2 linked regions of the Canis lupus familiaris genome follow. The protein of the gene in region 2 interacts with the protein of the main gene of each other region in a pairwise test. Links are inferred from orthologs where the notes say so. Each region holds a gene or a part of one and is shown on either strand. Other genes may lie near its edges.

The links.
Region 1: the proteins of THAP1 (region 2) and FAM133A interact in binary tests that used the Homo sapiens proteins (3 or more experiments, as listed by UniProt). The two-hybrid records come from large-scale screens. The link is inferred for Canis lupus familiaris from reciprocal best matches to the Homo sapiens genes THAP1 and FAM133A.

The regions. Positions count from the first base shown.
Region 1 is NC_049260.1:69,481,747-69,486,141, forward strand, and holds the start of FAM133A (protein FAM133A), read left to right. Parts: upstream 1-1,593; 5' UTR 1,594-1,723; intron 1,724-2,503; 5' UTR 2,504-2,572; intron 2,573-4,395.
Region 2 is NC_049237.1:23,681,916-23,685,564, reverse strand, and holds part of THAP1 (THAP domain-containing protein 1), read right to left. Parts: intron 1,487-3,649; coding exon 1,112-1,486; 3' UTR 1-1,111. UniProt on the Homo sapiens protein: DNA-binding transcription regulator that regulates endothelial cell proliferation and G1/S cell-cycle progression.

The DNA of each region.
Region 1 (4,395 bases), on a different chromosome or scaffold from region 2:
CAGTTGTACGGCTCTGGGTGGTTGTCACGGTAACATCCTTTCCTCTTCTCCAATCGATTTTACAGCCTTTGCAATCTTGGATTTCCCATCCCCAAGAGAAGAAGGGATCGTTGTGATCTGGTTTTGACTTTATTATATATGTCTTGGTCAGCATCTCATTTCTGAAGTATGGATTAGGTAGAAAATAAAATTCAAACGTGTAGCTTATAGGCTGGCCAGGTTTTGAGAACTTTAGGCTAATATCTGACAAGAACTTCAAAATGGGGGCATCATACTTCTGAATCATGGGCCCAAGCTTGTCGACATTCTTTAAAACAGTCAGCCTTTAGGATCTTCTTTTTTAGGCTTTCCCTTACGAGCTCTTTTAAGATTTACTCTTTCTTTAGGCCTGACCTCAGAAATTCTTTTAGGAGCCTCTATTACAGCAGCCTTTGCCTTAGCCTCTGCTGCTTTAGGCTGTTTTTGATCTTCTGCATTTTGCTGGGGGACTACTTCAGGCTCTTCTTTCACTTCAGGCTTTATACCCAGAAAATCTTTAGATTCTGCGTTTTCTTCAGTCTTTGCCTCAGGAATTTCTTTTGGAACCTCGTTTTCTTCAGCCTTTACCTGAGGTTTTTCCTTAGGGTTATCATCTTCCTGCTCACTTTCTAAGGCAGGCATTTCAATAGGGCTGTCTTCCTGCACCTCCTCATCACTGCTGAACACCTCATCCTCTGAATTCCATTCATATTCTTCTTCTGTAGGTTCATATTCTGCATTGATTATTTGAAATCGCCGATCGTATAGAGGCTTATTGAGTTCGGCATATTTTCTTTCGAGATCGTGAATTGCCTTTAAGAACAGGATGTCAACCTTGTCACATTCATCTTGAATATTTCTGAGAGCCTGCACACGATTTCTAACTGCCTGAGGCAGCCGATCCACAAAACTTTTACCCAGCGGAGCCCCCCGTGCTCCTCTGGAAGGCCCAGATACCCTCTTCTTTCTATATAAGCGGCTGCGGCCACTGCCGCTGCTGCTGCTGCAACTAGTGCTGCTGCTAGAGCTATTGCTGTCCGATTCTTCCCCAGAATCACTAGACGAGCTAGCCATCTTCTCTTCAGTAACCCTTTGGGCGGCAGGTTCCGAGACCATGTTAAGATCCTCTTCTGCCATTTTGCAAACCTGCAAACCCCTTAATATGGTGACTACCACTGAGACCGCGCGCTCAGAGATGGGCAGAAAATGACTCACGTATGCTTGGGTAGCGGCAGAGGCTGGGGCTGAGGAGGTTGCAGCAGCGAAGGTAACAGCGCAGGGCGGGGCTGGGTTGGGCTGCGGTGATCGCGCAGACGTGGAAGCCACAATAGAGGCCTGGGCGAGAGTGGAGGTGGCAAGGCCTCTCACTGCAGCTGCGACGGACAGAGGCGTGCTGCACCTAATGGCACAGTGTAAGACTTCAAGATCTCTTCAGCGTTTAGATCGCCAGCCCCCACCCTTGCAGTCAGAACTGCCGTTAATTTAGTTCCCAGTGTGCCCTTAGATCGCGCCTCATTTGCTGGGCAAGTTTGATTGACAGGCTCTAAGCCTAATGAATGACCGAACGCACCCGCCGCCCTCCAGGCTCCACCCACCTTCCCAGACGCTCCTTGGTAGCTGAGGCACACACCGTTGGAAAACGTTTATTTCCCCTGAAAATTCTATCTTTATAGTTATATAAATCAAAAACAAGCTTAAATATGAGGTAAAAATATTAGTCATGGTTTCTAACAAGGGAAGAGGAGTATTTTTCTCCCATCATCTCATCCTGAATTCCCGTTTGGTTTGTCAGGAGCCTCTTGACAAAAATCTGTTTCTAAAAAATTGGATGAAAATACTCCAAATGGCATCATTGGGTAGATTATGGGTGATTTTAAAAAAAATCTCTTTATCTAAATATCCTTGAGCTTTATTTTTATACTAGCGAAAAAAGGGGAGTCGTTTATTGGCAAAGGGGGAAGGTGCTAGAAAGCAGGCAGAATGCATTCACGTGTCAGTTTTAATAAGTACTAGCTATCGTGTTTGGCAAGCCTGGTTTATATCCATCGACAGGGGTTGTGAACTCATGTTTCCGTGAGTCAGTTACACCATTTTTGCTATATTTCTCTTTTTAAACTGGCATATAATATATACCTAAATCTTGCTGCTGACTTGCCACTAGCTTTTCTCAATGCTTGCAACAAACTTGTAGGTGAAGTACAAGGCATTCAAAAGTTAGGTAGTATTATTTAAAAGCAGACGGCTTGCTCTGTACTTCTGTGCTGCAGTTTTCAATTCCATGAACAGCAGGCTGGGAGGGGGTATTTGTGCTGATGAAAGTGCACCCTCTGTCAGGTTATACTTTACAATGTCATCTGCCACCAATTTCCTTCTAACATTGTAATATTCCAGCCACACTAAAGTATGATTTGCAAGTCCAGGAATATGTCAATAAACTTTTGTAAAACGAAGTTTAAAAACAGGTATCTGTTATTTTTATTTACAGGATTCTTTTCTGCTACGGAACACCTCCCTTGGTACAACCCAAAAGACCAGTGTTTACTTTTCATTAAAGGTAAGAAACATATTTAGACCATTTTTATGAATGACAAGAATTACCTATCTTTATTTGAATAAAAATTCACAGGTTCTATTACAGTCTTTTAAAAATTTAGTTAGGAGATATCTTGATATTTCTGTGGAAGCAAAAAGACCCATAGAGATGATTTGATATATTAATGTATAAAATAGCCTGATTAATTACATTCAGTGTCTAAACCGACTCATAGAATACAAGCAATAAATTAAAATATAAAATACGATGAATTATCACTTCAAATGAAGAAAAATATTAAAGTTTGATTAACATTTGTGTTACTTCTTATAGAATTTGTGCTTTGTCATTTAGTCATATATTTTTAAAAAGTTAGAGAACACTTTTCTATTTTGTAAATAAATTTACTTTTATTGTTTATTTCTAATTTTCAAGATATATTAGCATTGTAAAGAAAAAATATAGAAAATTACAATGATGGTAAAAAACATAATCTTAACAACCAAATGATAACCATTGTTAGCATTTTGATACATTTCCATCAAGAAATTTCTTTGTGCATCTACACACTGGCTTGTTTATATAAACTGTTCTCTAAATAAAACATATGTTTTGTAATCTGCTCACTTATCAGTTGTAGCTATATTTTCATGGTAAATGATCAACATCTAATTTTAAAATAGATACATATTCCATGGAAATATTTGGCGTAACTTATTTAACCAGATTTCTGTTGTAGAGCAGCTCCTTTCCACACCATTTCTCCACTAGCATATACTTTTTTTCCATTATAAAAAAATTATCCCTGGATACCTACTATATGCATTTGTGAAAATTAGACCTAAGATGAATTCCTAGAAATGGGAGTGTTGGAAAAAAATGTGTGTTCATTTTATTCTTTGACACATATTGCCAAACTTCTCCCCAGAAAAGTTATCACAATTTACAGTCCTACCAACAATGCCTAAGAGTCATTTATTTAGTCATTCAACTGGTTATTTTTTTGTGCCAGGCACATGTGGTAGAGGATGATAATATAATGGTGAATAAAACTTAACTATGTGTGTATTCTTTCATTTCATAATTTTAATCAAAACGTATACTATGGAAACAAGAATTTAAATCAGTGAGGTTATGCCATAAATATTGTTCTGCAACTTTATTATTTTCATTTAAAATTATAGATAAACTTTTTTGTAATGAATGCTCTTATATTTTGATAGTACTATAGTGGTTTCATTTTGTACCATCAGTAAATAGTATTTTGAAGTAAGCAATGACTTACTGATTCAGATATTTTTTAAAATATATTTTTATTAGCTAGCTGCTTTTTGTACTGTTTATTTGATAGTCTCTCTGTCTCACACTTATTTGAAATACCACTTTATCATATTAATTAAACTGCTTGGTTCTGTTCTGAATTCTTTTTTTTTTAAGATTCTATTCATTTATTCATGAGAGACACCCACAGAGAGAGGGAGAGAGGAGAGAGAGAGAGAGAGAGAGAGAGAGAGAGAGAGAGGCAGAGATACAGGCAGAGGGAGAAGCAGGCTCCATGCAGAGAGCCTGATGTGAGACTAGATTCCGGGTCTCCAGGATCACGCCCTGGGCTGAAGGCAGCGCTAAACCGCTAAGCCACCTGGGCTGCCCTCTGTTCTGAATTCTGTTCTCTGATCAGTTGGTCTTAATTTTTCTGCAAACAACAAATGGGGTAATGGCAGTTTTTAAATAACGTTTTATTTTGTGAAAATGATATGCATTGAAAAAAGGTTAGATAATACATTGAAATCCAAACAAGAAAATAACTAAAAACTCAGTGAGAGGTAATGTCACAATATTCACAT
Region 2 (3,649 bases):
ACTCAGAACATATTTTCATTTCAAATATATAACTAAAACTTCTCACGTCAGAACACAACTCATAGTTTGAACAGAAACTTCAGTGTTTAAATCTCAACGTTCAATAACAAACACTACATATTAGGTTGCTTTGGAATACAAATCACTCGGTTAAATAAATGGGATATAATTTCTAACTTGTGTTAAAAGTGAAGAAATCCTTTTTTATGTGAAGATGTGACCAAAATCAATTGGTCATATTACAGTAGAAATCAAACTCTACTGACACAACACATTTGTTAGAGATTTGTATACAGATATAACAACAGTTGGGAACTAGATGCTCCTTAAGCTTGGGGGTAATGAAAGAAAAAGGCATACTATGGATCAGGCCCCCATTTTTATTACTTGTTTAATAACAATGCCTACTTTATTGAAGAATGTCTCTTCCACTGGAAATACACTTCTGGTTTAATAATGTTAGTGGGGAAAAAAGGCAGACCCACTTTTAAAGAATGATTCATCCTTATTTACCTACATTGACTAGGTATAGAATGACTCTTCATTTTCTGCTCTGAAGATAACCAATTTATTTTTTGAAGTTTTGACTTGTCAACTTATTTTTGATAAGTGATTAAGAAAGATAAATCTTCTGACTTTACAAATAAGAATATGTGAATAAGAATATATATATTTTCTGAGAAGTTACATCTCGTGATCTGACCTATACTTCTGACTTACAATGTAACTAAATTCCTTTAATAACCTGCATTAATTTTAAATTTTAAACTTAAATTGTCCTTGTTATACTGTTCACATTCACTTTATTTCTCATTTTTACATTTCTATAAATACCCAAAAAACAAAACTCCTCAATTTGAAACCAACTTATATTGGAGTTCTGAGGTTAGTCTTTAACTTTTAAGATATTTTGTTAAAATGTAAAAACCCTGAAATTAGAAACAAAAATTTTACAATTTTACAGTATATATCTAATTTATTTAAAAAAATATTCTGAATTGTTTTTATACAAGTAATCAAGTGTTATTTTTTCAAATGAAACTCCTTTATAGGCTAGAAGAGGATGTGTGGTGTTGCCCCATTAAAAGCCAATACAAATATCTTTTTTTTTTTATGCTGGCACTTCAACTATTTCAAAATAGTCATTCGGCAAAATCACATAACCTCTTTCTGATATGTCGTCCTTCTCTTTCTGGAAGTGAACAACCTCCTTTAATTTTTCAAGCTGTCGTTCTTGTCTTCTGCATCTCTGCTGTGCAGTCTTGAGCTTCTTTCGGAGTTTTTCAACTTGTTGTTCTAGCTGATGAATCCTTTTTCTCTGGTGCATTGTATCCTCCACAGTATAGTTGTGGTCACAGAAAACTGAGAGATTATCAGGGGTCTGAAGAGGAGGCATTAGTAATCCAATAGCAGCATCAACCTGGGAAATGGGAGGTGTTAAAGGAGGTGGGGGAAGCTGTTCTTGTGGCTCCAGAAGATCTTCCTTCTACAACAATAATGCAAAGTAGGTTCAAGTTTAGTAACTACAAATAACAATTTAAAAGAACCCCTGTGGAATTTAAGAATGACATTTTTATAAGTTGGACAACCTAGAAGAAAAGGTTAAATTTTTAGAAACACACACTCTTCCAAAACAGGAAGAAATAGAAAGTATAAATAAACCAATCACTAGTAATGAAATTGAAAAGGTAATCAAAAAAGTCCAGGACCAGATGGTGATTCTATCAAACACTTAAAGAGTTAATACCTATTCTCCTCAAAATATTCTAAAAGACAGAAGAGAAAGGAAAGCTTCCAAATACATTCTGTTAGGTGAACAATACCCTAATACCAAAAACAAAGACACTGAAGAAAACTACAGGCCAAAATCCCTGATGAACAAAGATGCAAAAATCCTCAACAAAAATACAGGCATATTTGACAATACATTAAACACTCAACAATACACTAAAAGGATCATTCACCACTATCAGGTGGGATTTATTCCAGGGATGCAAGGATGGTTCAATATTCATAAATCAATATGAAACACTACATTAACAAAGGGTAAAAATCACACGATCATCTCAATAAATGCAGAAAAAGCATTTGACAAAATTCAACATCCTTTCAATGACAAAGTCTCAAAAAAGCTGGCTTAGAGGGAAAATACCTCAAAATAATAAAGGCCATATATGAAAAACCCACAGCTAACATTACACTCAGTAGTGAAAACTGAGAGTTTTTCCTCTAAGATCAAAAGCAAGACAAGATGTCCACTCTTGCTATTTTCATTCAACATAGTACTGTAAGTCCGAGCCATAGCAGTCAGACAAGAAAAAGAAATAAAAGGCATCCAAATTGGTAAGAAAGAAGTAAAACTATCACTATTTGCAGATGACATGATACTATACAAAGAAAATGCTAAAGACTGCAACAAAAAACTATTAGAGGTAATAAGTAAAGTTGCAGGATACAAAATTAATATATGGAAATCAGTTGTGTTTCTATACACTAATAATGAAGTAGCAGGAAGAGAAATTAAGAAAATAATTCCATTTATAATTACACCAAAAAGAATGAAACACCTAGGAATAAATTTAACTGAGGTGAAAGACCTATGCTCTAAAAACTACAGAACACTGATGAAACAAATTGAAGATGACACAAATAAATGGAAAGATATATCATTTTTATGGACTGGAAGAATTAACATTGTTAAAATGTCCATACTACCCAAAGCAATCTATAGGCTCAATGCAATCCCTATGAAAATACCAACAACATTTTTCACAGAACTAGAACAAATAATGTTAAAATTTTGTACAGAACCCACAAAAGACTCCAAACAGCCAAAGCACACTTGAGAAACAACAAAGCGGGAGGTATCATAATCCCAATTTTGAGATATACTACAAAGCTGTAGTAATCAAAAGTGGCACAAAAACAAGACACATAGGTCCATGGAATAGAACAGAAAGCCCAGAAATAAACCCATGCTTATATGGTTAATTAATTAATCTACAACAGAGGAAATAAGAATATCTATTAGGTAAAAGACTCTTCAATAAATGGTGCTGGAGAAACTGTACAGTTACATGAAAAAAAAAAAAAGAAACTGGACTTTTTTTTTTTACACCATATACAACACTAAACTCAAAATGGATTAAAAACTTAAATGGGAGGGACGCCAGGGTAGCTCAGCAGTTGAGCATCTGCCTTTGGCTCAGGGCGTGATCCTGGGATCAAGTCCTACATCAGGCTCCTTGCATGGAGCCTGCCTCTCTCGCTATGTCTCTCATGAATAAATGAAATCTTAAAAAAACAAAACAAAACAAAACAAAAAAACACCAACAAAAACTTAACTGGGAGACCTGAGACCATAAATATCCTAAAAGAAAACATAGTAATTTCTCTGACATCAGCCTTAGAGACATTCTTCTAGATGTGTCTTCTCAGGCAAGGAAAACAAAAGCAAAATAAACAATTGGTACTATACCAAAACAAAAAGCTTTTGCACTGTGCAGGAAACCATCAACAAAATTATAATGCAACCTAGTGCTGGGGTGCCTGGGTGGCTTAGTCAGATAAGTGTCCCACTTTTGATTTTGGCTTAGGTCATGATCTCAAGGCTATGAAGGGGGGCCACATGGGGGGCTCTGTGCTCAGC